Stegostoma tigrinum: one gene and its partner. The protein of the gene in region 2 purifies or fractionates together with the protein of the main gene of each other region. This does not show direct contact. Links are inferred from orthologs where the notes say so. Each region holds a gene or a part of one and is shown on either strand. Other genes may lie near its edges. The genes, in order: sirt1 and brinp1.

Region 1 (16,601 bases), on a different chromosome or scaffold from region 2:
CATGGCGCTGAGAAGCAGACAACTGAGCCACATATTAATGATCAGACCTTCCTATCTAACGTGTTAGCATTTACTGTCAATAGAACATAGTGAGGAACGAGATCAGTTTGAAACTGGTGCAGTTGGGAAAAGGAACAAGTCAAACAGTCAGGGCAGGCAGGAACAAAGCAAAGAACAAGGTAGGACTGATCAATTAAACTGCATTTATTTCAATGTAAGAACTGCATTCAATGCCCTAAGGCAGGTGAACTCAGGGCATGAGTGGAAACACGGGACTGGGATATCGTAACTATTACAGAGGCATGGCTCAGGTTGGACAGGTCTGGCAACTTAATGTTAGGGTATAGATGCTATAGGATGGGGGGGGGGTGGTGTGTGGGCGTGGGAGGAGCTCAAGCGAGGATGTGGAGTGGCGTTTTTGATGACAGATAACATTACAGCTGTACTTATGAAGGATGCTACCAGGAATACGTCCAGGGAAGTTATTTGAGTAGGATGGAGACGTAAGAGAGGAATGATCACCTTACTGCGATTATACTATAGACACCCCAATAGTCAACAGGAAATTGAGAAAACAAATTTGAAAGGAGATTTCAGTTATCTGTAAGAATACTAAGGTGTTTATGGATGGGGATTTTAAACTTTTCAAACATACACTGGGACTGCCATCGTGTTACGCACTTAAATAGAGAGGAATTTAATGGTGTATGAGAACGTTTTCTCACTCTATGTGAATTGTACTAACTAGAGAAGGGGCAAAACATGACGTACTCTTGGGAAATAAGGCAGGGCAGGTGACTGAGATGTTAGTGAGGGAGCACTTTGGGGCCAGTGACCATAATCTTCTAGTTTTATAATAATGATGGAAGAAGATAGACCAGATCCAAAAGTTAAAGTTCTAAATCAGAGCAAGGCCAGTTTTGACCATATTAGGCAAGATCTTTCAAAAGTTGATTGCGGGTGGATGTTTGCAGGTAAAGGGGTGGCTGGAAAATAGGAAACCTTCAAAAATGAGATAACAAGAGTCCAGAGACAGTATGCTCCTGTTAGGGTGAAGGGAAAGACTGGTAGGTGTAGGGAATGCTGGATGACTACAGAACTTGAGCTGTTGGTGAAGAAAAAGACGGAAGTATATGATAGCTTTAGACAGCGGGTATTGAGTGAATCCCGAGAACAGTATAAAAGCAGGAGGGAAATCAAGCAGGCGAGAAAGGTACACGAAATAGCTTTGGCAAATACGATTAAGGAGAATCCAAAGGGATTCTACAAATACATTAAAAGCAAAACAGTAACTCGGGAGAGAATAGGACCCTTTAAAGATCCACAAGGCTGCTATTGTGTGGAACTGCAGGAGATGGGGGAGATACTAAATGAGTTTTCTGTATCAGTGTTTACTGTGGAGAAGGATATGGATGATAGAAAGCGTGTGGAAATAAATAGTGACATCTTGAAAAATGTCCATATTCACAGGTGGTGGTGCTGGATGTCTTAAAATGCATAAAGTTGGATACATCCCCAAGTCCTGATCAGGTGTACCCTAGAGCTCTGTGGTAAGCTAGGGAAGTAATTGATGGGTCCCTTGCTGAGATAGCCACAGTTGAGGTGCCAGAAGACTGGAGGGTGCCTAACATGGGGTCTCTTTTTTAAATAGGTGATAAGGAAAAACCATGGAACTATAGACTGGTGAGCCTGACATGGGCAGTGTATAAGTTGTTGGAGGGAATCCTGAGGGACAGGATTTACATGCATCTGGAAAGGCAAGGACTGATTAGGGATAGTCAACATGGCTTTGTGTGTAGGAAATTGTGTCTAACTTGACTGAGTTTTTTGAAGAAGTAATGAAGAGGATTGCAGAGGACAAGGGCGTGGATGTGTTCTGTATGGACTTCAGTAAGGCGTTTGACAAGGTTCCTCATGGTAGACAGGTTAGCAAGGTTAGATCACATTGAATAGAGGGAGAACTAGCCATGTAGGTACAGAACTGCATCAAAGGTAGAAGACAGAAGGTGGTGGAAGGTTGTTTTTCAGATTGGAGGCCTTTGACCAGTGGTGTGCCACGAAGATCAGTGCTAGGTTGACTGTTTTTTGTCATTTTATATAAAAGACTTGGATGTGAACATAGGGAGCATGGTTAGTAAATTTAGAGATGATGCCAATATTGGAGGTGTAGTGAACAGCAAAGATAGATACCTCAGAGTACAAAAGGATGGTGATCATATGGGCCAATGGGCCGAGGAGTGGCAGACGGAATTTAGTTTAGATAAACTCGAGGTGCTGCATTTTGGAAAGGCAAGCCAAGGCAGGGCTTATGCACTTAAGGGTAAGGTCTTAGGGACTGTTGCTTGGAATGCAGGTTCACAGTTCCTTGAAAGTGCAGAGCCAGTGGACAGGACAGTGAAGGTATTTGGTATGCTTGCCTTTATTGATCAGTGCATTCAGTGTAGGATTTGAAAGTCATGTTGTGACTGTACAGGATATTGGTTAGGCCACTATTGGAAAACAGCATTCAATTCTGGTCTCCATGCTTAAGGAAGGACAGTGCATAACTTGAAAGGGTTCAGAAAAGATTTGCAAGGATGTTACCAGAGTTGGAGGGTTTGAGCGAGGGAGAGAGGCTGACTAGGCTGGGGCTCTTTTCCCTTGGAGCATTGGAGGCTGAGGGGTGCTTATGGAGGTTTATAAAATCACAAGGGGCATGAACAGGGTAAATAGACAAGTGGGGTGGGGGAGTCCATAATTATAAGGCATGGGTTTAGGGTGAGGGGGAAAGATTTAAGAGAGACCGAAAGGGCAACCTATTCATGCAGAGGATGTTGTGTGTATGGAGTGACTTGCCAGAGGAAGTGGTGGAGGTTGGTACAAATACAACATCTAAAAGGCATTGGGATGGGTATATGTATAAGAAGGGTTTAAGAGGGATATGGGTCAAATGCTGCCAAATGGGACTAGATTAATTTAAGATACGTGGTCAGCATGGACGAATTGTACTGAGAGGTCAGTTTCCATGCTGTATCACTCTATGGTTCTCTAATTAATACGAGCAGCAATAGGCCATTCGTCCCCTGGAATTTCTCTGCCACTCAATTTGACAATGGCTGATCTTCTACATCAATGCCATTTTCTTATACTTCCAATCTCAATGTATCTAGTAACTAGAATCTATCTATCTCAGTGAGTCAGTCACTGTATTCCTCTGCGGTAGAGAATTTTAAAGATTCACCAGCCTCAGAGCAAAGAAATTCCTCCTCATCTCAGTCCTAAATGGTCTATCCCTTACCCAAAATATCAAACAAAGTCATGATAGAAAACAGAAGTCACCAGTTTTAAAAAAAAATCATCAGGCTGCATTATCGTCATGAATATTTTGGTGACAGTTATGAGCTGTTTCTACATATAAATTTTCAGCTGAATATTACTGAAACTGCTTCTCAATTAAAAGTACTAAAAAGACTGCACTTATAAAGCAACTTCGATAAACTCAGGATGTTCCAAACTGTCTAGTAATGAAGTACTTTTTGAACAAGTCATTTGGTGATATAGAATTTGTAATCATTGAAAGGCCATATTTTGTTGAAACTTTTTACCTTGTATGCAAGAATGCAATTTGCAGGAAATACCTAAGTAAACGAAAAATATCTACACTTTGAAAGAACTGATGAGTCATGGAGACAGGAACTACTGTGGAGAATGGAGTACTTCATGACTGACAGTTAACTGCTGGCTTTGTTTAAATTTTAAACCAAGCAAGTAGACTCGGAATTGACTCCAAGACATTGACTCAAAAATGCACTAGAGAATGGCAGTCACCTATTTTGAAAGTTGAAACCAACAAAGTTAGTGCACATGCTCCTTTTGCCTGTAAAAGGGGTACAGTGGCTCAGTAGTTAGCGCATTTTCCCCATGTCTGCCTGGGTTTCCTCCGGGTCCTCTGGTTTCTTCCCATAGTCTAAAGATGCGGAGGTTAGGTGGACTGGCCATGCTAAATGGCCTGTCGCGTTCAGGGTTGTGCAGTTTAAGTGGGTGAGCCATGGGAAATGCAGGGTTACAGGGACTGGGTGGGATGTTCCTCAGAGGGTCCCTGGGGACAGGATAGGTTAAATGGCCTGCTTCCACACTGTGTGGCTTCTACGAAAGAACAGGGGCCTGTGCATTAATAAACACAGATTCCAGTGCACAGCATGAGAACCTGAACAGTTATCAGTTTTAAAAGATTAACAAATACTGTCCAATCACAGAATTGCATTTAATGCTGGACCCTTACTAAGTTTGCAAGCAGCAGTTGCAACAAAATGTACATTTTTTCAGGAATACTTTTTGAAATGTTAAAATGTCGGAAAGCTGGCAGCCAATTTGTAAACAGCAATCCAAGTCCACAAACAGCTTTTGATATCAGCCATGTTTTTTTTGGCAACGCTGAGAAAGACAGTGTTCAGAATTCTCTGCACCTGTAATTTATGGGGCTTTTTATTTCCAATTATGGCTTAAGGTTGTATTTAAATTGGATATGGATTCTCCCACAGCTTAAATTCTTTGCTCAAATCACTGTTTATCACTGAGGGGGTGATAGAAGTTTGGAATTTATTGTTTGCAAAGGTTTTGGAATTCAAACCCTCACGTTTAAGAAGTACTTGAAAGTACATTAGTAATTGAAACACCACAGCATACAAGACCAAGGGACAAGTGCTGGAACATGGGACTAGATTAGTTTGGTATGTACTAACTGACCCAGGCACACAGGGCCTCTTTAAACTCTGATACTCAAACTGCACTATGCCATCTGTACCCTTCCTTCTTCAAACTGTAACCTAGGATAAACATAACTTTTAAGCAGCTCTACTTTTAATTATTTTTATAGTTTCGGTTGTTGTATTTCCTGTATATAGATAAGCTCGTTCCCCTAACAAAGGCCTCACTACGTCCGTCCACCTTGTGTGCCGCTATTGATGGCAGAACTTTGATTTTAATCTCTGACTAGAACTTCCTCCTGAAATTATTTCCCCTTGCTTTGCCCCTCCCCGTCTGTACATTTTATTAAAACCTAATTATTCAAGTACATGTTTCTTCAATTCCAGAGTCAAACAGCATGGAGACAGACCCTTCAGTCCAACCAGTGCATGCTGACCTTAATCTAGTCCCACTTGCCTGAGGTTGGCCCATATCCCTCCAAACATTTCTTACTCATGTACTTACCCAAAGTGTCTTTTAAATGTAGTAACCGTACCCGCATTAACCACTTCCTCTGAAAGTTCATTCTACACACAAACCACAGTGTGTAAACAAAAACCCTTGTGTCTCCTTAAAATCTTTCTCCTCTCACCTTAAAAATATGCTCCCCCCGACTTGAAATCCCCACCCTAGGGAAAGGACACCTGCCATTCACCTTAACTATAGTTCCCATAGAGATTTATAAAATAATGATAATAACCTCCTCTAGCAAAGAAGTCCCACCTTATGCAACCTCTACTTATAACACAAGCCCTATGTTCCCACAACATCCTGGTAAATCTCTTCTGAACCCTCTCCAGTTTAATAATATCCTTCCTTTAACAGGGAGATCAAAAATGGACACAGTACTCCAGAAGAGGGCTTATTAATGTCCAGTACAGCCTCAAAGTAATGTCCCAGCTCCCATTCTCAAAAGTCTGCGCAATGAAGGCAAGCATGCTAACACCTTCTTAATCACCCCATATGTGATGCAAACTTCAAAGTTCTATTATCGGCATGTTGTGAGGACCCAGAACCTTCACAGGATCCTATGTCTTCAACTGTTTCTTGATATTGCACAGACTGAATTGAATTGGCTGAAGACTGACATATGATGTTGAGGACAACTGGAGAAGGCCAAGAGGGATTATCCATTTGGCAATGCTGGTTGAAGGTTTTTGCAAATGCTTCAGCCTTATGTTTCACACAGGTGTGGTAGCCATCCCCATTGTTGAGGATGGAACTCCGCCAGTGAGTTGTTTAATTGTCCACCACCATTCAGTTCTGGACGTGGCAGAACTGCAGAGCTTAGATCCGATCTGTTGGTTGTGGAATTGCTTAGCTCTGTCTATCACGTGCTGCTGATGCTGTTTGACACACATGTAGCCCTGCTTCGTCATTACACCAGTTGACACCTATTTTTTGGGAATGATAGCTGCTGTTCCTGGCATGGCCTCCTGCACTTGAATCAGGGTTGATCCTCTGGCTTGATGTCAAAGCCAGAGTGGGGAAAATATGCCAGGCCATGAGGTTGCACATTGTGTTCGAACAGAATTCTCTTGCTGTTGATGATCCATGTTGTCTCACTGATGCACAGTCTTCAGTTGTGAGATCTAGTCAATCTCATTTAGTGACACACAAACACGATGGAGGGTATTCTCAACAAGAAGACCAGGCCTTGTCTCAACAAGGACTGTATGGTGGTCACGCTTACCAATACTGTCATGGACAGATGCATCTGCGGTATAGCAGATTTGAGGGGATGAGATTGGTGAGGGTAACGTCAGCTATGTTCTCTTGTTTTATTCCCTCACACCTGCTGCAAATCCAGTCTAGCAGCAATGTCTTTTAGGATCCGAACAGCTCAATGAGTAGTGCAGCTATCAAGAAATTCTTGGTGGTGGATACTGAAATCCCACACCCAGGGTACATTTTGTCACCCTCATTCCTTCCTCCAAGTATTGTTTAACATGGAGAAGTACTGATTCATCAGCCAAGGGAGGATGGCATGTGGTAATCAGCAGGAAATTTTTTGTCCACATTTGGCCTAGTGCCTTGAGACTCCAATGAGGAGTCAATGTTGAGGACACCCAGGGTAATTTCCCTGGCCCCATCACCCTTCCCCAAACACATCCCCCACTCCCACAACACCACCCCAAATATGTACTGCTGTGTGACCAGCTTTGCTGCGTCTGCCTGACAGTGGGACATCATCTACAAGACATGATTCTGTGAGTGTGAGACAGCTCTCCCAGTTTTAGCACTGGCCCCCAGTGTATCTAAGGAGGGTTTCGCAGGGTCAGCAGAGCTGTGTTTGCTGGTGCTGTTTCTGGTACCTAGGTCAAAATGAGGTAGTAGTCTGATTTTACTTCTTCCATAAGACGTTCTAGTCATTTTCACAAGTCAGTCGTAGATAGCAGGGAAAAGTCAACCATATTGCTGTAGGCTGTAGATTTGCTTGCCGAACCAGTGTGTTTGATTGCAAATGTTTCGTCATCCTGCTAGATGATGTTGTCAGTGCTCACCGGGGCGCACTGACAATGTTACCTACAGGGTGCCGAAGTGTCTGCAATCAAACACACCGATTTGGAGAGCAAGCCAACAACCTCATCCACAACCTGAGCTACAAGTCTTCTCAAAAATATTGCAGTAGAACTGGGGTAATGTAGGCCAGGCCAGATAAGAGCAGAAGTTACCTTCCCTAGAGAACATCAGCAAATCAAACAGATTTTTCGGTCAATGGTTTCGTGGCAATTAGACTCTGGTGAGTTCAAAGCTCTTCATCTGCCACGGTGGGAATTGAACTCAGTACAACGCCAGGGTCTAATGGTAATACCAGGGTGCCACCTCCTGCCCTATTTCCTGTAATCAGCCAAATGTCATTCAGTACCCACTTACCACCCTTTGCCACCTCACCCCTTACCTCAGCTGCATTTGATAGCTGTCTGCCTTTGTTACCCACTGCTCTCCTCCCCAGAGTACACACACCCCCTGCCTCACTCCCCCTGTGCCAGACTCTCCCAGCCCACCATCACATACCACCTCTCCCACACCAACCTTCCCTTTCGACATGACCCATGCACACAGGCTTCAATCACCCTCCACGGTACTCCCTACACTTACACCACACCCCCACCTGCCCTTGCCCCAGGCCCCGGTACCTTCCCCCGGCGCCGCCCCATTCTCCGGGCTGTCACTCGGCGGCAGATCGTGCCGGCTGTCGGTGGCGGAGTCCTGCTGCTCGGCGCCAGGCGCCCTCCGCCGGCGGTCCCCGGTGCCAGCGGGGCCTGGTGCCGGGCCGTCGAGCCGGGCTCTCTTCCGGAGCTGATCGCCGTCCGCCATCTTCCCCAGCACCGCCCCAGCCGTCACGTGGGCCTGGGGTCAGGGGGCACCGACAGCCGCGCCTGCGCAAAAGGAGCCCGGGGGCTGGGTGGATGAGGGTGAGGTGAGGAAAATGGGGTTGAGGGAGGGGAGCGGATCGAAGGTGTGGGTAAGGGGAGTGGGGAAAGAGTACGCAAAGAGGGGGAGGGGGAGGGGGTGGGGGTGGGGGTGGGGGGGAGTATGGGTGAGGAGGGTGTGGGTAAGGGGGGGGTTTAGGGGAACGTTTGCGTAAGGGGAGGTGGAAGGTGTGGGTAAAGGGGTAACGGGGAAGGTGTGGGTAAGGGGGGGAAGGTGTGGGTAAGGGGGTTTGGAAGGTGGGGGTAATGGGGGAGGGGTGGAAGGTGGGGGTAATGGGGGAGGGGTGGAAGGTGGGGGTAATGGGGGAGGGGTGGAAGGTGGGGGTAATGGGGGAGGGGTGGAAGGTGGGGGTAATGGGGGAGGGGTGGAAGGTGGGGGTAATGGGGGAGGGGTGGAAGGTGGGGTAATGGGGGAGGGGTGGAAGGTGGGGGTAATGGGGGAGGGGTGGAAGGTGGGGGTAATGGGGGAGGGGTGGAAGGTGGGGATAATGGGGGAGGGGTGGAAGGTGGGGGTAATGGGGGAGGGGTGGAAGGTGGGGGTAAGGGGGTTTGGAAGGTGGGGGTAATGGGGGAGGGGTGGAAGGTGGGGGTAATGGGGGAGGGGTGGAAGGTGGGGGTAAGGGGGTTTGGAAGGTGGGGGTAATGGGGGAGGGGTGGAAGGTGGGGGTAAGGGAGAATGGAAGGTGTGGGTAAGGGGATGCGGGTGGAAGGTGTGGGTAAGGGGATGCGGGTGGAAGGTGTGGGTAAGGGTCGGAAGAGGATGGAAGGTGTGGGTAAAGGGGTTGGAAGGTGTGGATAAGGGGGGTTGGGTGGAAGGTCTGCGTAAGGGGGTTGGGGATGGGGCTGGGGGTGGTGGGTGTGGGTTACAGGGGTAGAGTGGGTGTGGGGATGGGGAGAGGGGTGTGTGCAAGCGGTTGTTCACGGGGGAGATGATAAGGATAAACAAGCATAATTTATGAATGAAGCATACTGCTCCAAACCATCTTGTGTACTTCAAAATGCAGGTCCACTGTATTCAAATTCTGTTGTTTTTCACTGGGGGACTGTGAGGTTGTTTGGTCGGGGTGGTTAACAGGGAAAGAAAGAGTGGGTGTTGGGTGAATGTTTCTTTTGTAAGATTCTATTGCCTACCTGCTTGTCACTACCCTGGTTGGTTAGCTCTGCAGTGATCCTGATTGACTCATCAGGTCTCACCAATTCATCAATTAAGGATATGTTACTGTCACAACTGTGTGGACCACCCCTCAGTGATACCAACCAGCAATCCCTCACAACCTGCAGAATTGACTACAGGAACAACATGTATTGGATAGTGTATTGGTTTGGCACTGATCCTTGCCTCCTTCATCTTCCTATCCTTCTGCATTCTGCTCTATTACCCTGATCAGAAAAAGACGAAGCGTCTAGGCCCAAAACGTCAGCCTTCCTGCTCCTCTGATGCTGCTTGGCATGCTGTGTTCATCCAGCTGTACATCTTTTTATCTCAGACTCTCCAGAATCTGCAGTTCCTACTGTCTCTGCATGAAAATCAATCAGCTCGACACGCCAATCAACAACTCCAAATGCAGTCCGAGCTACAGATCTTTGATAAAACATTAAATTGTTGACTTCTATTTTGCAGTAAAGGTAAATCTGTAGATTTGGGATTTTAGTCAATGAGTTTACAAGTTGTTTATCATTGGGCAATGATCTTGAGGTTGAGATAGATAACGTGGAGCTGGATGAACACAGGTGGCTAGGCAGCGTCAGAGGAGCAGGAAAGCTGATGTTTCCGGCCGGGATCCCTCTTCAGAAAAAGGAGAGAGACTTCCTGGTTATAGTATGCTATTTCATATTTTTCACTCTCTCTGCTCAAAAGCAATTTCCTGAAATAGAATTCTTTTGTGGATTCCAATGTGTAACTTCCAGGAAATTGTGAAGCAGTCAGGATGTTCAGTGGCATTTAGAACAATGTTACTTTCAGCTCACTAATCTTTGTCTATTGATGTGCTCATGAATTTGGCTCAAACTGGACAAGTGATCACAGCAGCCAATATCTGTCCTTTTTTAAAACCAGTGTTTTGCTCTGGAAAGGGTCTCAGGAATGACTCTTAGATGATGGGATTTGATATTGATCATCTATTTTTACTGTAATCAATATTATATTAAAAACAATGTATAAATGCAGACTGTTGATGATGATAATAAAATAGCAAATCCTCCAATTCTTGCCAAACTGGTTAGTGATATATGGGAACTCTAATGGGCACATAGTTCATTTGTGACATTTCATTCCTGTGCAATGACTTCTAACCTAACTTGTAAGAAATCTGACTTAGTGTGATGCGTGGGCATGAATGCACTGTCAGAACTTCGGTCCTAGAATCCCTACAGGGTGGAAACAGGCCCTTCGGCCCAAAAAGTCCACACCAGCCCTCAGAGCATCCCATCCCCCATAACACCTAATCTACATATGCCGGAACACTATGGGCAATTTAGCATGGCCAACCCACATCTTTGGACTGTGGGAGGAAACCGGAGTACCCGGAGGAAACCCACACAGACAGACACGGGGAGAACGTGCAAACTGCACACGGACAGTTAACTGAGGCTGGAATTGAACCAGGGTCCCTGGTGCTGTGAGATAGCCGTGCTAACCACTGAGCCACCGTGCCACCCCACGTTAGATAATTTGTTACATTGGAGTTGTTGGTTGGTTCGCCGAGCTGACTGGCTTTAATGCAAATATTTCGTCTCCCTTGTAGATGGCATCATCAGTTCTGTGTAACCTTCTTTGAAGCATTTGTTGTTCTGTCCCGCACTGAATTTCTATGGTCTGTTGTTATGTCTCACAGCTTGTATGTAATATATTTCGAAGAGATGTGCTCATGAAATCATCGCCACATCATGCCAGGCGACCTAAGGGTATAAAGGTCTCATATTCCATGTTAACCAGGGCCACTTGAAGATGCTACCATTTGTAATTGAGTAGCTTCATCTTAGCCTAAACACTGAAGTACCTGCAACTGTAATGTATGTATGTACCAGGAGCTTCAGTAGTGTCAGTTACCTCATTCATTACACTGTTGCCTTGTTAAGTTGTAGGAGCTAACATAAGCACTCAACAGATACGTATACCCGAGATAACAAAGTGTGGAGCTGGATGAACACTGCAGGCCAAGCAGCATGTTAGGAGCACAAGATGCTGCTTGGCCTGCTGTGTTCATCCAGCTCCACACTTTGTTATCTCGGATTCTCCAGCATCTGCAGTCCCCATTATCTCTGATACGTATACCCTACTGAAGGCAGTAGTTGGCACTATGGTGGTGATCCAGTGAGAATGCCACAGATGCTGTAAACCTGAAATAAACTATAAGGCCTATTTGTTTGTCATTACCATCGATATTTTGCTGAGTCTCAAACCCTCCAAGGGCTAGGTAGTGATGTGACACTGTGTCCTAACCTCTCTGGCCTCAGCTCACTCACTTCTGCCCCTCCCAATTCCTAAGTCTCTGCTATGTTCTTGGGTAAATTGTTTCTTGCCCATTCGGCAACCCCACTCCTCACCCAAGCAATACAAGGCACTCGGAGATAATGGGAACTGCAGATGCTGGAGATTCCAAGATAATAAAATGTGAGGCTGGATGAACACAGCAGGCCAAGCAGCATCTCAGGAGCACAAAAGCTGACGTTTCGGGCCTAGACCCTTCATCAGAGAGCCTCTTGTGGAAACTAGGGCTCCTTTTTGATGGTATGAGTTGCCTCATTCCATTAAATGCCCAAAGAGAAACTGTTGAGTGAAGGTAAGTCTTTAAAATAAATGGGCGATACGGTCAGCTGGTGTGTTGTTTCGGCAAAACCAGAAAAAAGTTGTAAATGAGAGACAGAAACTGTTAGAAAAGCTCAGCAGGTCCGGCAGCATCTGTGGAGAGAAATCAGAGTTACCGTTCGGGGTCAAGGTGAGAACTGAGCTTGGTTCTGAGGAAGCGCCACTCGCCCAGTAAAATTAACTCTGATTTCTCTCCACGGATGCTGCCGGACCTGCTGAGCTTTTCCAGCGATTGCCGATGTTTTGGGACGTTGCGGCAGATGCCTAAGTTAACATTCACCACAGGGACACTCACTCACTGGATAGAGACAGTCGGCGGTAGGTTTAACCTGAGAGTCAGGTGAGGTGCAAGGTTGAGAAGGTAGGATCTTCATGGTAACCTCAGCTGATGTGGGAAATGAATGCTCTGCAGCACAAACCAATGCTCCCTCCAACTGATCTAATTGCCTCCACCCCCCCCCAGATGGCAGGTGGGTAAAACACAAGTGACAGGAGAATGAGGGGATGGGGTGGTGGTGTGTTATGGAAGATGAGGGATTGAGTGACAGGAGGGTTAAGGTGGTGAGTGAGGGGGTAAAGTGATAGGCGAGGAAGTGATAACATGATGGGGTGGATGAGAGGTTCAGATGGTAGGTGAGTGACTGAGCCAGAGAAGTGGCAGTTGGTTAGTGTGTTTGGAGTGTGATGTGTTGGAGCTCTTCTTAAGTTACAAAAGAGTTTAGTGGGGCAAAAGTAGTGAAGATATTTCCACGCGTAGATGAGATCAGCTTTGTGGACTACACATGCATCTGGTTTGCTGCTTTTTGGTGAAGCTTTGCAAGAACCGAATTCCGTTGTTTGTGGTCAGTTCCCAGAAAGTCCGACCCCTTTGTACAGTTGCTATGTTTGTACTTTTTCCCCACACTTTTTACAAACACCATCTGTGTCTCTCACAGCATTGGCTCTATGTTGCGGATAGTGCAGCTCTTAAGCTTATCGTCTGCCTTTGTACATCTGGTTCCCATTTGCCATGAGAATGACTGAGAATTTAATCATTAACTAACTAAAACTTTCAACCCCTTCAGAATACAGCTAGCGAGATCTAAACACACAGCAAAACAACACTTCAACCTGTTTTGTGACACTGTCTGATCGATAGATTGAAGTCTAGAGAAATTACTTCCCTATCTCAGTTCTCTCATGTTGTATTTAACTGACTGGTGGTTTCCTTTTGGACTATGAAGACCTCAATGTGCCATTTTCAAATCTGCTGATGTGAACCTTTCACAAATCTGAGAGCTTAAACCTGGCACCAACAGCCTGTAGATTACTAACCAAACGCTAGTTTAGAAATTTCACAAACTAAATCCTGTTGAAGTGATAGTTCTCTGAACTGCTCCAAATCCTCCTTTCAGGAGAAAATGGTGTCTTCTGAACCAAATTCAAAAACATTTTGCCCATCCTAAGCTCTTCTGAGCTCATAACAAAGCTAATAATCTTAGATGTTTAACCTGTCTATTGTGAACAGAATTGTATACACATCTTTCCATTAACCACAAGGTCCACAGTCACCTGCTCTTTGAAGGAAGTTGGATTTAAATCACTGTTCTGGATGGACTTTATGACCTTTCTTTGTAAAAAGGAAAAAACCGTTCACAGGAATAACTAACTCTTACATCCAAAATACCGACAAGGATGATCTATATGAATTACACACGAGTTTTGAGAAGATTTGTAGCTCAGGTTGAGGTTCTGGATGTGAGTTTGCTCGCAGAGCTGGAAGGTTAGTTTTCAGACGTTTCGTCACCATACTAGGTAACATCATCAGTGAGCCTCCGACGAAGCGCTGGTGTTATGTCTGGCTTTCTATTTATCTGTTTAGGTTTCCTTGGGTTGGTGATGTCATTTCCTGCATTGGTGATGTCAGTTCCTTGTCTTTTTCTCAGAGGGTGGTAGATGGGCTCCAAAAGAATGTGTTTGTTGATGGAGTTCCGGTTGGAATGCCATGCTTCTAGGAATTCTTGTGCGTGTCTCTGTTTGGCTTGTCCTAGGATGGATGTATTGTCCCAATCAAAGTGGTGTCCTTCCTCATCTGTATCTAAGGATACGAGTGATAGCGGGTCATGTCGTTTTGTGGCTAGTTGATGTTCATGTATCCTGGTGACTAGCTTTCTGCCTGTTTGTCCAATGTAGTGTTTGTCACAGTTCTTGCAAAGTATTTTGTAGATGACGTTCATTTTGCTTGTTGTCTGTATAGGGTTTTTTAAGTTCATTAGCTGCTGTTTTAGTGTGTTGGTGGGTTTGTGGGCCACCGTGATGCCAAGAGGTCTGAGTAGCCTGGCAGTCATTTTGGAAATGTCTTTGATGTAGGGGAGAGTGGTTATGGTTTATGGTTCATGGTTCGTGACCCACTATCACTAGTATCCTTACATACAGATGAGGAAGGACACCACTTTGATTGGGACAACACATCCATCCTAGGACAAGCCAAACAAAGACACGCACAAGAATTCCTAGAAGCATGGCATTCCAACCGGAACTCCATCAACAAACACATTGATTTGGAGCCCATCTACCATCCACTGAGAAAAAGAACAGGAAATGACATCACCAATGCAGGAAATGACATCACCAACCCAAGGAAACCTAAACAGATAAATAGAAAGCAGGACATAACACCAGTGCTTCATCGGAGGCTCACTGATGATGTTACCTAGAATGGTGACGAAACGTCTGAAAACTAACCTTCCAGCTCAGTGAACCAGCTTACATCCGGAACAAAATAAAGACCCACTCTTTTGTGGACCGAAAAGAGGAGAGCACAACTGTGTTGGAAGTGGAAGGAAGACGTCAGGTTGGCTGTGCACCCTTGCAACCGGTGGTTCTTAATGCTGGCTTCGGCCTAACGCTGGTTCAGGGGAGCAGCCAACCTGCAACGATGGCTGCAGCGACTGCTCATGCCCCGGGTCAGGGGGTCCGGAACACCATCTGCGTTACCGTGATGAAGGTGCACCTGTGGACCGCACCTTCTTCATGAAGAGGGTCCTGTTGGACTGTTGTGGGTTTGCTGCTGCGGACATTTACTGCCTGCAGGATTTCCCCGGAGGGGGTTTTTACGATGTGACCTTCAGGAGTGCCAAGCTTTGCGAGCGCTTCCTGGAGGTGTTCAAGGAGAAAGGAGGTGAGGGCCCCCTCTCCGTACTGACTGCTGTCCCGCTGTTCGTGATGCCGGTGCAGAGGAGCCGTATGGTGACTGTACACATGTACAACCTGCATGTGCCAGCAGTTGATGTCCTGACCTTCCTTGGAAGGTACGTGAATGTGGAAGGGGACCTAACCAACATCATGGACCCCTTCGGGATCTGGACCAGTAAGAGGCAGTCAGGGTGACGCTAAGGACGGGCTCGGACGGGAACATCATACACCCATCGTCCAGCTTCGCGATCGGCGGGAGCAAGGGCTAATTGACCTACGCAGGGCAACCTAAAGTCTGCCATGCCTGTGGGAGGTCAAGTCATGTGGCGGCCGACTGTAAGCCACCATCTGCAGGAACTGCAGGGAGGACGGACACCTTGCAAAGGATTGCCCACAAGAGAAAAGCTGCAACCTTTGCGAGGAAGCGGGCCACCTCTATATGGCATGCCCGCAGTGGGGGACCACCTATGCCCAGGTCACCGGCAGGGGCAATGCGGGGCAAGTCCCCCGGAGGAGAGGAAGGCACCAGGCCCCTACAAGGACCCCACCTAATGTGCAGGAGGGCCAGGTCGTGCAGGACGGCCCAGCCCCGCAAGATGGACCCGAGGCCAGCAAAGCGCCCCTGCAGGCTCCGCTCCCCCCCCCCCACCCCCCCGACAACCCGGAGTCGATGGAGGAGCTGACAGGTGACCCAGGGGAGTGGACGATGGTCCAGAAAGCAAGGAGGAAGGCGCACCGGCAGGCCCTGGCACCACAACCATCAGGCAGGAAAAGGCAGGTACAGGGGGGCGATAAGAGCTCTTCTGACGAGGGAGATTTGGAGGAGGCCCGCCCAAAGAAGAAGCTAAAGATCTCAAGGGAGAAGGAAAGCGGCACCCCGATTCCAAGTGATGGGAGGCATCCTGAGGCTCCCTCCGACACCCAGCCATGCGCTGCTGGGGCCCTGGAGGGCGCCCGGAACTTTCAGGTGGGAAGGAGGAAACAGCATGTCCCCAGCCTGACCCAGAGCCGGACTCTCCCACCTCCGTACCCCCGATGGGGGGATGCCGCCCAGAAGGCAGCACGGACGGTTTCCTGAGCCCGGAGAACGTCCAGCAGTTAGCCTGGGCAATGGGCATGAAGGGACAGATGGAGGTGCTGGACCTTGGACTTGGGGAGGGTACTGCGGTCACTGCCCACAATGGGCGTACGAGTTGCGAGCATTAATGTGCGCAGCGTCAAGTCCACTGCAAGATGTGTGTCCACGTTGGCCTTCCTGACCACCGTCAAGGCAGACCTCCTGTTTCTGCAGGAGTGCAGGATACCGCACCTCAGCAGGTACGGGAAATGGTCCGGCGCCTGGACCTGTGGGCCTTCGATCTGGTCGGGGGGTAACGACTGTCGCTCCTCGGGCCTGGCTATTCTGCTGCGGGGGCGCAACTTCACCATCTCTCAAGTTCAGGAGGTGGTGGGGGGGG
Region 2 (16,359 bases):
CCTGATGGTGAAAGGCTTCTTTTTTTCAATGTTTGAGCAAACTTCATAACAAGCACCACTAAGGGCTGTATGCATCTCCTCAAAGGCAAAAAGGGGAACATTTTTACAAATAAACACAGACTTTTCAAAAGCTCGATATAGGATTCCAGTCCACAGAATGTATTTGTCGGCACTGCTCAGAAGACATAATTAAATCACGGGGATAAGGTAAAAGACTGGTAACTTCATTAAACGATTTTGACAGGTCACAAATTAGATAAAGAAGGTCCTCATGCCCATTTGATCTGACCTTGCAATCATGACATTCCCATCTTCCAAATACATTTATTTTACAAATAAATCTAATGCCCTGGCTTCAAGTATAGTTTTCTCACAAACAATTCCAACTGCTAACCACCCACTGGAGTGCCTAATTGGTAAAATGATAGGGCCAAATGTTACTCAACTTTACTCTCATGTTTTTGGATCAACAATTTAATGTAACATTTATCCTTCATAATATCCATCAAACTCAAGGAATAGCAAACGATCCAGTCAATTATTAAACATTATGTTCATGAAGGGGACCTATGGCTGAAAGGTAGTAGATTTTCATTATCTGCATTACAACTGCATGTTCAACAGGATATAAACACAAGCTATCATTTAAATAGTTGCACAGTGTGTTCTTGTTATACATTATTGCCTCAACTTTCCACCTATACATTCATTTGGTTAAATATTAAGATCACTATCATCAGGTACAAGTTAATTTCTTTGCCTTCTCTCTGCGTCAAATGTTCCACGCCCTCAATAATATTTTTCAATCTGTTTCAGTTTCTCTCAATGTCAAGTTTCAACCAACCAAACTAAAAAGAGCAGACACTTGCACTCTTAGCAACAATTGCAGCTTGCAGTTCGGTAGCACTTTTAGTACAGTTACACACCCTTGTTATCAAAGTGAGCATTACCAAGATGAGCCACATTGGGGCCAGTAGCTAAAATCTTGGTAAACGCAGAAGCTGAAAATATGCTGCCCATGGCGTAGCCACAAAAACTTGAAAATCACATGAGCTCAGAATTTAACAAGCACAGATTTCTCAGTGGACCTTGACAATGTTACATATAGAACATTACAGCACAGTACAGGCCCTTCGGTCCTCAATGTTGTGCCGACCTGTCATACCGATCTCAAGCCCATCTAACCTACACTATTCCATGTACGTCCATATGGTCATCCAACAACGATTTAAATGTACCTAAAGTTGGCGAATCTACTACCGTTGCAGGCAAAGCGTTCCATTCCCTTACTACTCTCTGAGTAAAGAAACTACCTCTGACATCTGTCCTATATCTTTCACCCCTCAATTTAAAGCTATGCCTCCTCGTGCTCGCCGTCACCATCCTAGGAAAAAGGCTCTCCCTATCCACCCTATTTAACCCTCTGATTATTTTATATGTTTCAATTAAGTCACCTCTCAACCTTCTTCTCTCTAATGAAAACAGCCTCAAGTCCCTCAGTCTTTCCTCGTAAGACCTTCCCTCCATACCAGGCAACATCCTAGTAAATCTCCTCTGCACCCTTTCCAAAGCTTCCACATCCTTCTTATAATGCGGTGACCAGAACTGTACACAATACTCCAAGTGCGGCCGCACCAGAGTTTTGTACAGCTTCACCATAACCTCTTGGTCCCGGAACTCGATCCCTCTATTAATAAAAGCTAAAACACTGTATGCCTTTTTAACAGCCCTGTCAACCTGGGTGGCAACTTTCAAGGATCTGTGTACATGGACACCGAGATCTCTCTGCTCATCTACACAGCTAAGAATCTTACCATTAGCCCAGTACTTTGCCTTCAGGTTACTCCTACCAAAGTGCATCACTTCACACTTGTCTGCATTAAACTCCATTTGCCACCTCTCAGCCCAGTTCTGCAGCTTATCTATGTCTCTCTGCAACCTACAGTATCCTTTGTCACTATTCACAACACCACCGACCTTAGCGTCATCTGCAAATTTACTAACCCATCCTTCTACTCCCTCATCCAGATCATTTATAAAATGACAAACAGCAGCGGACCCAACACTGACCCTTGCGGTACACCACTAGTAACTGGTCTCCAGGATGATACACCACTAGTAACTGGTCTCCAGGATGAGAAGGGGTAAGGCATTACAGGGCTTTGCAAGTTTTCAAAGATATTTTTAAATCAACCTGGTCAGACATGTTCCAACACATTGGAGCAGGTGGAATTTGAACCCAGGGCTCCTGGTCCAGAGGTGGGGAATTAAGCTTGAGCGGCCTTTGTTTTAGTGCCAGTGGGAGAGTAGGAATCACTTTTTTTTTAATCCATTGACTTGTTATAGTTATTTTTGTTATGTCAACCTGGTCAGACATGTTCTGACATACCTACAGGGCAGGTGAACCTGAACCTGCTGGATAAGAAATAAGGACACTACCATTGTGCCAGAAGTCTATTACACTTTAAAAGTGTGTTAGCCTGTTGATGGATATTTCCCGTTCAATGCCTGCTTCATGTTGTCATCCTGAACAGACCCGCTCGGGATAAAATGTTGGTGTTGGGAGTTCAAGAGATCAAATACAGGGAGGGCCTAGGGCCAAACCTGCTGTCAGCCTGAATAAAATAATCAGTTTCTAAAAATATAAAACCAACCAGCAAGAATTAACACTGATCTGTCGAATGGAAGGTTAGCCTTCAATCTGAATAAGGCAGGAATATAAGTCTAAGATAGTTAAAGCTTGTCCACACTCCCATCTGGAGGACTGTCTTTCATTTTGGAAACTGTGTCTCTGGAAGGGGTACTGCAGAGACCGACCCAGGATGTACCATGGTTAAAATGATTAAATTATTAGGACGGATTAGACTTGTATTTCCTTGAAAATAAATTGAGGAATGATCTATTAGAAGTGTTTAAGACAGTTGAAGGATATAAGAAGCCATTTCTTTCAATTGGGGTAGGATCTTAGAATTTGCGCCAGCTTTTTTCAAGGGTGTTATTAAGAATCTTTACTTTGCACAAAGATCTAGAATTCTCCCTTCAAAAAGCACTACTGAGGCAAGGTAATAGAAAATTTCAAAATCGAACTCAATAGATTTTTATTAGACAAGCCTTTTGTTGGTTGTAGAACCAAGACAGATGGATTGACTGAAGATACAGATCACCCGTGATATAACTGAATGTTACAACTAATGACAGTGACTGTCTGGAGTGTTGAAACTGGCCAAGATCAATCAGTTATCCTTGATTCTAATTCTGTGTATTTCAGGAGTTTTCAGGCAGACATTTAGAACAGAAATGTTGAAAGTGACATGTCTAGTAATGTCTAGTTGGTGCAGGTGGCTATAACTGTGACTCATGAGGTAGAAACAATAGAGAGACCTTCAGTTCCGGTACTCTTCCAGTCAATTCCACTTTTTAACATTTACTGATAACTAAACATTGTTTCTCAGAAATTAATCCTACTTGCTCATCATCAGAGTCTAGCACATACACTGTATGTTAGAAGCATGTTCACACTGATTCATTAATTCATCTGAAGCTCCTTTTTACATCAGAAATATTAACACAACCACAATAAGTCGGTTAATGCCTACATTAAACAAGTAGGCACTTTTAGTTTGTGGGAGCTGGCAAAGGATTTGTACACCAGCATTAAGCAAAATTTCTAGATTCACCTCCACCCACAGCCAAGAACTCAACAATAATCTCTTTAAGCCACTTGTACTGCAAAAACCCCTGGCTAATTATACAACTTGTAGTTTTCATTAAATGAACAAAGTTTCTTCACTCATTCATTGACTGTCTTTTTTGCCTTTTTAAAAATGTACCTGTGAGCATTCCTCCAACCTGTAACAACAGAGAACAGGAAAATGCTTCATTTTTCAAAGGCATGTATTAAGTAACAGAAACCCCTGGCAATTTTCATCCCTGATTTTCAATTTGGCAGCAGAAATTCTGCTCTGTGGCATCTGTGGGAGATGCCAAGTTGCAAAACATTTGCAGCGTCACAGTTTGCACGGTCGACAAAGCTTGCAGGGTCCCTATACTCAGTTGCATGGGTACCAAGTACTACCATGTGAAAACAAGCTGCCCCGCTCTTGCGAATGTAAATGCAAGACACACACACACACACACACACACACACACACACAGAGGAAATGAAAAAAAAACACAAAATAAAGGTCACAGTGATTGGACTTGTGATTAAATTATTCAGAGAATAAGATGATGGGTAATACAGTTTTGAGGGTGGCTGTGCAGGGGTTTTGTGTTACATTTTAAGCCTTCAGTCATCAAGAATGGTTCTCATTTTGTCAGCTTCTTTTCGATAAAATCAGAAAATGGCATTGGACAATCAGCCAGTTAATGATGTGAGATTAAACTGCTGGCGAGAACTCATAGCTAAAAGCCCATTCTGGTTATAAATTGAGGAGGGTGAGTAAACAATCTATTTGCAAGTCTATCTGCACCAGCCACATTCATCACTGCTACCTGAATAAATTCTCGCAGCAGCTTGCTGCTGGTTTCTGTGCGCGCAGCACTGCTCAGTTTTTTGTAGACTGCAAGGCTTGTGCTCCACTGCAAGATGAACCAGAATCACACAGACACAAAACAAAATCACAGAGCTTTTTCCCAGGGCCTGCTGCGCGTGTTCAGCGTATAATACAGAGAGGATGGATTTCCATTGAATGACTCCCTCACACTGATAAGCAATAGACTTACCTCTGCTATAGATCACCGTCTTATTTCTCACAGACTGGCCAAAGTGCGCTTGAAAGTGATTCAATGGGCAACAGAACAGTCAGGGTGCTTACAGGCTAACACTGGGCCAGATGTGGCAGCCACCAGTGCGTGTTTATTTCTCTCTCCTCCCTCCCTCCCCCTCTGCTACCCACTCTATTCTGAAGGACAGTGAAACTTCACAGCACTTGTGAGCCACACGGTGGGTTGCACCCCCCCTCCCCCTCCACCGTGCAGTCCCAGGCACATTTTCTCTGTGGTTACAGGGGTTTTGCACACAGAACGCTGCCTTCCAATTCAAGAAGTCCACTCGCCCCCGGACAGCCTCGAATCCAAATGCGCCCCATTCCCCAGGACACATGGTCACCAGGTTAAAACCAAAAAAAAACCCATCCGCTTGAAAAGGAATCACTTTGTGATTAGAAAAGAGGAAGGAGTGGATTGATGGTGAACGTGATACCAGACACTGGAATATGCTGGAATATGATTAATTCCCTTTAAAATAAAAACAAAGAACAAAAATTCAAGGGAGCTACGTGGAGTGAGGAACAGGAAACCAGCCAGTACCGGGCAAAGGCAGGGGGACAGGGCAGTATTAGGCAAAGGCAGGGAGATAGGGCAGTATTAGGGAAAGGCAGGGGGACAGGGCAGTATTAGGGTAAGGCGGGGGGACAGGGCAGTATTAGGGAAAGGCAGGAAGATAGGGCAGTATTAGGGAAAGGCAGGGGGACAGGACAGTATTAGGGTAAGGCAGGGGGACAGGGCAGTATTAGGGTAAGGCGGGGGGACAGGGCAGTATTAGGGAAAAGCAGGGGGAGAGGGCAGTATTAAGGAAAGGCGGGGGGACAGGGCAGTATTAGGGAAAAGCAGGAGGACAGGGCAGTATTAGGGTAAGGCAGGGGTTCAGGGCAGTATTAAGGAAAAGCAGGGGGACAGGGCAGTATTAGGGAAAAGCAGGGGGAGAGGGCAGTATTAAGGAAAGGCAGGGGGACAGGGCAGTATTAGGGAAAAGCAGGAGGACAGGGCAGTATTAGGGTAAGGCAGGGGGACAGGGCACTATTAGGGTAAGGTGGGGGAGAGGGCAGTATTAGGGAAAAGCTGGCGAGCAGGAAAGCGGGCAAGGCAGGTCAGCAATTCTGCACCAGGGAAAGGCAGTTGCACATTCAATGTGGGTGATGGGTTGGGGGTTGGGGAATGGGCAGGTTAGGGCGAACCAGCATTGCACATTAAGAATAATTCCACCTTTCTTGACATCAATCAGTTGGTTCGGTCAGGTGGTCTGTGGTAGTCAATGATCTGGGAGTAGGTAGTTTGCTCAGTACCCACCCAATCAATCATTAACTTGTCAACGCTGGAAGGCAGGAGATTCAGAACAGACTGTGCTGTTTGCATCAATCTATGGGATCGCCAAAGAGATGGCATGTTACGTAATCTGCATGTTGCAGGATAAATCGTCCCTTTCACGTGATGACCCTACAGAATAAACTATAGGTGTATTTTCTTTTTTTTTGCCGAATAGTTGTCATTTAAAGAGACACTGAGCTCGTCCACAGCAAAACCTCACTCCAGTCACAGGTAATTTGGATAGAGTAACGGCTCCCCCTAGTGGGATAGCATCGCCTTTCTGCAGATCCCGGTCCCTTGTCTCACATCCATGAAAACTTTTAAAAAAGGAATGTTGGACTTTACAAAATTAAGCCTACCTCTGCAGCAGCAAAAAGTGGTGACAGAATATTTCTATTTTTAAAAAAAAGCTTTTTAAAAAATTACATGGTAAGTGAGATACTGTAGTACAAGATTAATAAAAACAGAATATTTATACGGAACAGAACTTCCATTAAAATGCATCCTTCACACGTATAAAAAATAAACTGCTTACTCGATTGCAAAGTTTGCATGAAATAAGACGCACGTATTTAAAATATGGTTGATTTTTTTTCCCAATTTCAAATTCCCGTTAGTTCAAACCCCCTACAACTCCGTGTTTGCATTTCGCCTTCGATATATTGCACACTGCACGCTGTTCTCCTTCCTCCAGCCTCGAGCAGGTTTCTCTCTCAGCAGCTCACACCTTGACCGTAAACATTAAACACCATTTGTACCAGCCCCGCTCTGAAACATGCAGCAGACGCGCAGGTAAGAGGAAGGGCAGGGGTTGTAGATGGCTGCGATTCAGAGCGAGAGAGTCTGAAAGCACTGCAGGTACACACACCCCTTACCCTCTCCCGTCGGGTTCTCCCGACAGATCCCAGCAACATTCCCGAGCCCAAATCCAACCTGGAAAGGGATGTGGTGGCTGGGGAACACAAGCGCCGCTACACATACACAGAGCCCGGCCGTTCATTTGTTCAGTCACACTGCAGCTCTCAATCTCAAGCACTGACCATCCGCACCACCCCCTCCCGACCCCATCAAAATATTTTATCGTGTTAAATATTTTCAGCCCTCTCTCTCCCTCCTCCAGCGGCAGCAGAAATGTCTCACCTAATGACCGTTCTCCTGGGCGGCTAAGATGCACAGAGACCCGGTGTCGAAGCAGCTCAGTATAAAGTTGCAGCCGACCCTATAGTTCCAGCTCCGGTTCGGGCAGGGACCTGGGAAGCTGAAGGCGATTGACGAGGAGAGACAGAAATCCCTTCTTTTCATGCCGGAGCGATGAGACTTTGAGGCGGGTTGTTGAGGATTGATATATTTAAAAACAAAATAAAAATAAAACCGAAAAGGGGAAATCGCTCATTATCGACCGTCCGCCGAGACTTGAGAGACCAGGAGCACCAAATACAGTAACATTCTCGAGTGTCTGTGTGTGGAAAGGCTGTTCGGATTGGGAGCTCCGAGCGTGTGAGAGGAATCTGTAGTGAATGAGAAAGTCCTGTACTGTTGGAGACAGACAGAGAGAGGAGGGACTGAGATGGACTGAATGAACCGGGAGCCACAGAGAGAGAGAGAGAGAGAGAGAAGGGATAGACTGAAGGAGGAAGGAGATTGCAAAAAGAGATGAGCAGAATGAGAAAAAGGAGGCGGAGAGACGGGGCGGGATGGAAGGAGGGGAAAATTGCAGACTCCCTCATACACAAGCTGCAAGCAGAAATTGATTGGCAGCTCGGATCAGGGAGCTGAACGCGCTGTGTTTATTCCGCCTTTGCCCCCCCGTGGGTTCGTACCCTCGGGAGGGGGTGGGTGTGATTTATTTTAAATTATAAGAAAGCGGGACGTACACCAAGTGAAACATCTAGAGACAGAGATTAAAGTCATTAATTGCAAAATCTACACGAAAAACATGATTTTTTTTCTCTTAAAAGGTGTTTTGGAGCGGGATCAATAAAAGGTGGGTTGAGAATTTCTGTAATTCTGTTTTTTTTAAAAGAGGAGAACCTAATGTTTAAGTCGGTATTAGAGTCTTATCTGCGAGCTGTAGGCGATGCAGACAGGAGGGAACAGTAATCGATTGGGGGAGAGAGAGCGATGGGGACACTAAACCCTGGAGACACAGGGAGAGAGCTGCAATTTAGCCAGAAACGATTGGCAAGTCGCTGAAGCAGATTAGAGAGAGAGAAACTCCAGGTTCTGATTCCAATTCCTAAATCACATCAAGCAAGCACTGTGAAGTGGATCTTTGGAAATCACAACTGATTCTGTTACCAGCAGACGAAGTTTAAGATTGTTGTGTATCTTTTGTCAATAAAAACAAAAACTCTGGAATTGCTCTCACGACCTGTCCAACTCTAGGAGTGACTAGTGACTGAGAAGCTGGCAATGAGGAAGGGATTTTGTATATGTGTGTGTGTGTGAGGGGGGGTCTGTCTGTAGCCTGCCGTTGCCAGTCACCGGGGACGGAGTGTGTGAGCCGGTGAAAAGTTCACTCTCTTCTCCGGCGCTAGCAGAATGCAGTTTAACACCATCCCACCCCCGTGCCGGGGGCCTGCGAGTCACTTTAGTCTAGATCTCAGTCGGAATTACCAACTCTGAACCACGCCAGGAACCTGTATCCACGTTGAGTCTGTATCCACATTAATTTTTTTTCTGCAGAAAATATTTTTTTTCACATGACTGTTTCCCGCGCAATGCACTGTCGATGTTTGCCTGCATGCAACGATTTCTGAATGTATTACTTTCTGCTGAATAAATTACTGTTTGCAAAACGAAGCCTTGAGGTTTGCACGCAGGCAGGGCGGAATGTTTCAGTATTCCGGTCAGAGGATCCGTGCTCACACGGCATCATCGCCTTTATCCCAACTTTAGCTCCGGACTAGATGTTCCTCTCTCCAAAGCGAATCCAAATGGGCAATGGGTTTGTTCCCCACCTTTCACAGATACCAAATGGAAGCCAGGGTTTAATATAAGATTCAGGACCAAAACCAGACGTCGCTAGAAAAGCTCAGCAGGCCTGTGGCAACATCTGTGAAGAAAAAACGTCAGCGTTAAGGGCTTTCAATTCCTGATGACCCTTCCTCAGATTGTTTGGCTATCCATAGTGTAATGACGGTAACGAGCCATTTGAACCTCATAGAATAGGAATTCCCTGATTGGGGCTGTTAATTTGTTCCAATGAGGGAACCCTGGCTGACAGATAGCAACGGAAGTGTCAGGGTTTTTGCGCACTATGAGACCTAGCTCTGAGGGAGCTGGATCAGTACCAAAGACACTCCATGTGTAAGTGAAGGGGGATCTTGGTGACTGGATGCCAGTCTCTTTGGAGTTATGCCACTCGGTTTCATTATTCCCTTGCCAGTTCCATTGTGCTGGCCGAAGGTAAATAAATGCATTTACACATCATTGTCATGAAATCACAAGAGTGAAAAGCGACTGACCGCAGGAAGTGCTGGGCAGAACTGTACAGAGATCTGGAGCATGCAGTCGAGCCAACAGTCCTGCCAACCTCATGGAACAAGCTGCCTTCCTCTGTCAGATTTGAGAGCCATGCGTAGCTAATGCTGGGGGGATGTTCCTTCCCGTTACATTGGCTGGTCTCATGAGACAGAAACTTCCTATGTTTCTTCTTAAATTGCAGCCCCCGGGCACAGCAAGATCTCACACACGCATGACCATCCGCTGATTAAATTCAGCCCTGCCCACTGGCCAGTTCTTCATAGAATCCCTACAGTCTGAAAGCAGGCCATTCAGCCCATCAAGTCAGCAAAGAGCATCACAGCAAAATGCACCCTACCTCTTTAACCCTGCATTTCCCATGGCTAACCCATCTAGCCTGCATATCCCTGAACACTTTGGGAATTTATCACAGCCAATCCACCTAACCTGCGCATCTTTAGACTGTGAGAGGAAACCGGAACACCCGGAGGAAATCCATGTAGATACGGGGAGAACGTGCAAACTCCACACAGACAGTCACCTGAGGGTGGAATCGAACCCAGGTCCCTAACGCTGTGAGGCAGCAGTGCTAACCACTGAGCCTTGACCTTGTGGATAGTCAGACGGACACAGACAAGAAAACACAAGCTCTCCTTGAAGGCTTCTCCAAAGAACTGCATCTCCAACTACAGCAGTCGCTTCGATTGCACCACAAAAATAACGCAGTTCCTTGAAAGTGTTTTATGTTTGGGTTTTATATTGAGCTAATTTCATACATAGAAATTGAGGATGCTAATTATGCTCAATTAGTGTGGAAGTTCACTAAAATAGATAACGTGGCTGAAAAAAAGAATCCAGTTGGTTGCAGTAAAAGGAACAAGCAAATAAACATTCACAGTATTGCTGGGTGGTGATGCTTAATATAAAGAAGGAAACTGAGGGATGAATCTGTAGTAACAGCAAATAGTCATAATAAAAGTAATAGAGTAGCAATGGTGGTGGGGGGTGGGCAGGCAGTTTCTGATACTCAGTATAGGAAAGGGGAGGAATTGCAGTAAATGGCAATAAGTCAAGAATTGTACTTTGTGCACAGAACCTTATTTTAATCAGTATCCTTAAGAGCTAGATGCAGTAAAATGGGGTAGATCGAATAGGTTATTATTGGGGGGAAGCATCGAGGTAATAGTGATCATAATAAAGTTAAGGAGATAAGGAAAGCAACAAAGAAAGAAATGGAAAAATTCAGTGTTGCGATTGAAGTTCTGTCTATAAATCAGGGCATCAAGGGTTGTTGGGAAAAGGCAGGAAAGTGGAGCTGAGGATTATCAGGTCACGCATGATTACACTGAATGGTGCAGGAGTTTGATGTGCTGAATGGCCTACTTCAACCCCGACAGTCTTAAAATATTAAATTAAAAATAATGCAATTTGTGAAAGAATCCAGCAGAGATAGGCTAAAGTAGAAGACTGGACAGGAAAACAGCATATAAGCAGTGACAAGTCTTGAAGATGGAGAAAGTTCCAGTTCAAGGAGAAAAGACGACACACCCAATGCTAAACAGTAAATGAGAGCAGGTTTCCATATCCATTGCATCCCTACAGTGTGGAAACAGGCCCTTCAACCCAACAAGTCCCACCCTCAGAGCATCCCACCCCGACCAGTTCCCTGAACCCACACATTCCTGAACACTATGGCAATTTAGTGTGGGCAATCCACCCAGCCTGCACATCTTTGGACTGTGGGAGAAAACCAGAGCAGCTGGATAAAACCCACACAGATGCTGGGAGTACACACAGACAATTGCCTGAAGGGGAATTGAACCCAGGCCCCTGGTGCTGTGAGGCAGCATTGCTAACCACTGAGACACTATGCCACCCCTCACACAGAGGGTTGAAATGAATTGGAAGCATTATTGAATGTGTGAAGTAGAACTTTTGAAAGTCAACTGGACACATTTACAGGGCTAAGGGACTATGTTTGACAACTCTTAGAAAGAGAGAGCATAGAAAAATTGGGCAGAGTGGCCCATGTATGCTTTTGCAACTGTATGCGATTTAGCATAGAATTATCTGCATAAACATTCTCATGCAGCACTATGGAAAAATACGGTTGCAATTTATAATTTGGAAAATAAGTGTCAAATGGAAGTGTAGCGCACAACAGCAAGTACCCATCTCCTAAACAGATGGACATCAAATCAGAGTAAGGCTTCATTTATCAACAGGCTCTTGGTGCTGCCAAGAAAATCGTGATGATATATTTGACTGTCTGTTCCCCAATCCAGAAACAAAACTGAGAGACGCTTCGCACCCTGTCAGCTAGTCTGAGAGAAGAACTATTGGGGTTTCAGCAACCCCAGGTTATGCTATCAAAATGTTTCAAACAAAATGCGGTAATGAGCAATTCCTGTCATTGGTTTCAAAAGAAATGTTAGTGCAACATGGGGTGCCGAATATTTATGTATTCAGGAATAAACTGTCTCTTCCATTGTTGCTTTGGTAAAGGGCAGACCAGGAATGCGTGAAGGAAGAAAAATTTTTAACCCTAACAGTTCAGTTGAGATCCAATTCTTGTTTCAATCATAGAATCCCTACACAGTGTGAAAGCAGGCCATTTGGTCCATTAAATCCACACTGACCCTCTGAAGAGCATCCCACCTAGACACATACTCCTACCCTATCCTTGAAACCTTGCATTATTAGTGGAAGGATCTTTCCAACTCTTATCAAAACCTTGTTTTGCAGCCCCATATGGTATAAGTTTGGAAAATGTTTAGTCTCAAGTGATTTTCGGCCACAGTACAATGCTTCGCACACTATGAGAGATAGTGAGTAGATTTGACAATCTCAGTGGCTATAGATTGATGAAATGAGAATCAGACTTGTTAAGTCAGAACAATAACATTGTTTTATCGCTGAGTAAACCAGGTGTTTTTGCAGCTGGACTTATTTCTGTTTCTGCTACCCAGAAAGTAGAAGATTGCCAAGACCCTTAACTGGACAAAATATAGCAATTTATCCAAAAATGCAAATTAAATCACAACAATGGACAAAAATGTTTTGTCATATCAGAACAAAGTAACTTCCAGCTCAAGTTATCGCTGACATTGTAACAAACAAAATTCTCTATTGGATTACCCATTGATCAGGCCACAATATATAAACAGCAAAACATAGTTTACTGCTACCTGTTTGTGCGAGCTGTAGAGAATAGATGTTATCACCTGGGACATTGGAGGTTCTGAATCATGTCAACCAATTTATGTCATAAAAGTAGTTTTTATTTAATGTGCATAAGGAAGAAGATCTGCCATTCTTAGCTAGTCTGGCCTACGTGAGTCCACATTTACAGTAATGTGGTTGACTTAATTTCTATAGAGGACAATTATGATGTGCAATAACGTTTGTTTAGCTAATGACACCCGCATCTCATGAATGAATGTACTTTTAAAAAGTTGAGATGATCGAATACAGTTAAAGGTGATTTCTTCATCCTACCCTCGACAGTAATGTTTCTACCCTTGAAAAAAAAGGAAGGAACTGTGCGTGAATGTAAATGAAATTTGGACCAATAACTCTGCTTTTAAACATTCAGTTAACCCACTTTGTTCAAACAAATTAAAGTTTCCACTATGTAGACAGGTAGTTGGTATGAAAAATCACCCAAGAAGTGAAAACAAAAATCCTTAGGAGTGTGATGTGATAATGGGAACTGCAGATGCTGGAGAATCCAAGATAACAAAGTGTGGAGCTGGATGAACACAGCAGGCCAAGCAGCATCTCAGGAGCACAAAAGCTGACGTTTCAGGCCTAGACCCTTCACCAGAGAGGGGGATGGGGTGAGGGTTCTGGAATAAATAGGGAGAGAGGGGGAGGCGGATCAAAGATGGAGAGAAAAGAAGATAGGTGGAGAGGAGAGTATAGGTGGGGAGGTAGGGAGGGGATAGGTCAGTCCAGGGAAGACGGACAGGTCAAGGAGGTGGGATGAGGTTAGTAGGTAGGAGATGGAGGTGTGGCTTGAGGTGTGAGGAAGGGATGGGTGAGAGGAAGAACAGGTTGGGGAAGCAGAGACAGGTTGGACTGGGATGCAGTGGGTGGAGGGGAAGAGCTGGGCTGGTTGTGTGGTGCAGTGGGGGGAGGGGACGAACTGGGCTGGTTTTGGGATGCGGTGGGGGAAGGGGAGATTTTGAAGCTGGTGAAGTCCACATTGATACCATTGGGCTGCAGGGTTCCCAAGCGGAATATGAGTTGCTGTTCCTGCAACCTTCGGATGGCATCATTGTGGCACTGCAGGAGGCCCATGATGGACATGTCATCTAAAGAATGGGAGGGGGAGTGGAAATGGTTTGTGACTGGGAGGTGCAGTTGTTTATTGCGAACCAAGCAGAGGTGTTCTGCAAAGCGGTCCCCAAGCCTCTGCTTGGTTTCCCTAATGTAGAGGAAGCCACACCGGGTACAATGGATGCAGTATACCACATTGGCAGATGTGCAGGTGAACCTCTGCTTAATATGGAAAGTCATCTTGGGGCCTGGGATAGGGTTGAGGGAGGAGGTGTGGGGGCAAGTGTAGCATTTCCTGCGGTTGCAGGGGAAGGTGCCGGGTGTGGTGGGGTTGGAGGGCAGTGTGGGACGAACAAGGGAGTCACGGAGAGAGTGGTCTCTCCGGAAAGCAGACAAGGGTGGGGATGGAAAAATGTCTTGGGTGGTGGGGTCGGATTGTAGATGGCGCAAGTGTCGGAGGATGATGCGTTGTATCCGGAGGTTGGTGGGGTGGTGTGTGAGACCACTCTCTCCGTGACTCCCTTGTTCGCTCCACACTGCCCTCCAACCCCACCACACCCGGCACCTTCCCCTGCAACCGCAGGAAATGCTACACTTGCCCCCACACCTCCTCCCTCACCCCTATCCCAGGCCCCAAGATGACTTTCCATATTAAGCAGAGGTTCACCTGCACATCTGCCAATGTGGTATACTGCATCCATTGTACCCGGTGTGGCTTCCTCTACATTGGGGAAACCAAGCGGAGGCTTGGGGACCGCTTTGCAAAACACCTCCGCTCAGTTCGCAACAAACAACTGCACCTCCCAGTCGCAAACCATTTCCACTCCCCCTCCCATTCTTCAGATGACATGTCCATCATGGGCCTCCTGCAGTGCCACAATGATGCCACCCGAAGGTTGCAGGAACAGCAACTCATATTCCACTTGGGAACCCTGCAGCCCAATGGTATCAATGTGGACTTCACCAGCTTCAAAATCTCCCCTTCCCCCACTGCATCCCAAAACCAGCCCAGTTCGTCCCCTCCCCCCACTGCACCTCACAACCAGCCCAGCTCTTCCCCTCCACCCACTGCATCCCAAAACCAGTCCAACCTGTCTCTGCTTCCCTAACCTGTTCTTCCTCTCATCTATCCCCTCTTTCCACCTCAAGCCGCACCTCCATCTCCTACCTACTAACCTCATCCCACCTCCTTGACCTGTCCGTCTTCCCTGGACTGACCTATCCCCTCCCTACCTCCCCACCTATACTGTCCTCTCCACCTATCTTCTTTTCTCTCCATCTTTGGTCCGCCTCCCCCCTCTCCCTATTTATTCCAGAACCCTCACCCCATCCCCCTCTCTGATGAAGGGTCTAGGCCCGAAACGTCAGCTTTTGTGCTCCTGAGATGCTGCTGGGCCTGCTGTGTTCATTCAGCCTCACATTTTATTATTCATAGGAGTGTAACAGGACAGTCCAATAACCTGGAATTTAATGTCAAGTCTTTTTACTGTGAAGTGTTTTGAAACTACAAGCATAAAATTCTCGCTTAAATTCTGTACACGTTAGAGTTCAGAAATAAGAAGTTTGCAAAGATCCACGTGAAATGAGAGGAACCAGCTCAGACAGTATCAAATGTTTTGAGTAAATTATGTTAGGCACAGATGACAGGAATGCAGATAAAGTAGCAAATGAACAAAAGCGTATTTCGCCATGGCACACAAATGATCATCCTGTCCCAGATGGTTTACAGTGGCTGCTCGTAAAGGTAAGAGATAATTAGGAGGGCTCAGCTCAGAACTCCAATCAATTAGAAGTGGCACCCAAGTTCCACAGTTTGAAACATAAATGCAAGTGTGTGAGCCATTCCAAACACAAAGGAAAATAGTTGTGGTTGTCAGAAGTTAATCATCTAAGTCCCCGACTGTCACTGCAGGTGTTCTTCAGTGTAGTATCCTAGGCACAATCATCTCCATCCACTTCATCAGTGACCTTCCTTCCTTCACAAGGTCAGAAGTGGGAATGCCCACTGATGATCTTGTAACATTCAATACCACTCATAAGACCTCAGACACTGAAGAAGCTAGTGTACATATGCACAAAGACCTGGGCAACTTCCAGACTTCAGCTGTGAAGTGACAAGTAACATTTATGCCATGAAACTCCAAGAAATCATCATTTCAAACAAGAGAGAATATATCTATTTCTCCTTCATGACCTAAAGCTGAATACCCTACAACCAGCAATGTAGAGGTTACCATTGACCAGAAACTGAAATGAACAGTGAAAAACTGTGGCTACAGGGGCAGACCAGAGACTGTGAATTCTGCAGTAAGTAATTCATCTTTGATTTTCCCCAGCTGTCCAGCACCTGCACAGCTGAGGAGAATGAGGATAATAGTTTCTTCTTGCTTAGTCAGCTGCAGCTCCAACATCACTGAAACATTTGACATTGTGCAAGACAAAGCAGCCCGCATGTTTGGTGCTGTATTCCCTCCCTTTCATATTCATTCCCTTACCCACCAATGTACAGTGACTGCAGTGTATACA

The links.
Region 1: the proteins of brinp1 (region 2) and sirt1 purify together in Homo sapiens (affinity purification with western blotting; 6 studies listed by BioGRID and IntAct, with this or other methods). This does not show direct contact. The link is inferred for Stegostoma tigrinum from reciprocal best matches to the Homo sapiens genes BRINP1 and SIRT1.

The regions. Positions count from the first base shown.
Region 1 is NC_081373.1:55,230,576-55,247,176, reverse strand, and holds the start of sirt1 (NAD-dependent protein deacetylase sirtuin-1), read right to left. Parts: upstream 8,086-16,601; 5' UTR 8,047-8,085; coding exon 7,866-8,046; intron 1-7,865. UniProt on the Homo sapiens protein: NAD-dependent protein deacetylase that links transcriptional regulation directly to intracellular energetics and participates in the coordination of several separated cellular functions such as cell cycle, response to DNA damage, metabolism, apoptosis and autophagy.
Region 2 is NC_081382.1:10,768,385-10,784,743, reverse strand, and holds the start of brinp1 (BMP/retinoic acid-inducible neural-specific protein 1), read right to left. Parts: upstream 7,737-16,359; 5' UTR 7,228-7,736; intron 1-7,227. UniProt on the Homo sapiens protein: Plays a role in neurogenesis and brain development. May suppress cell cycle progression in postmitotic neurons by inhibiting G1/S transition.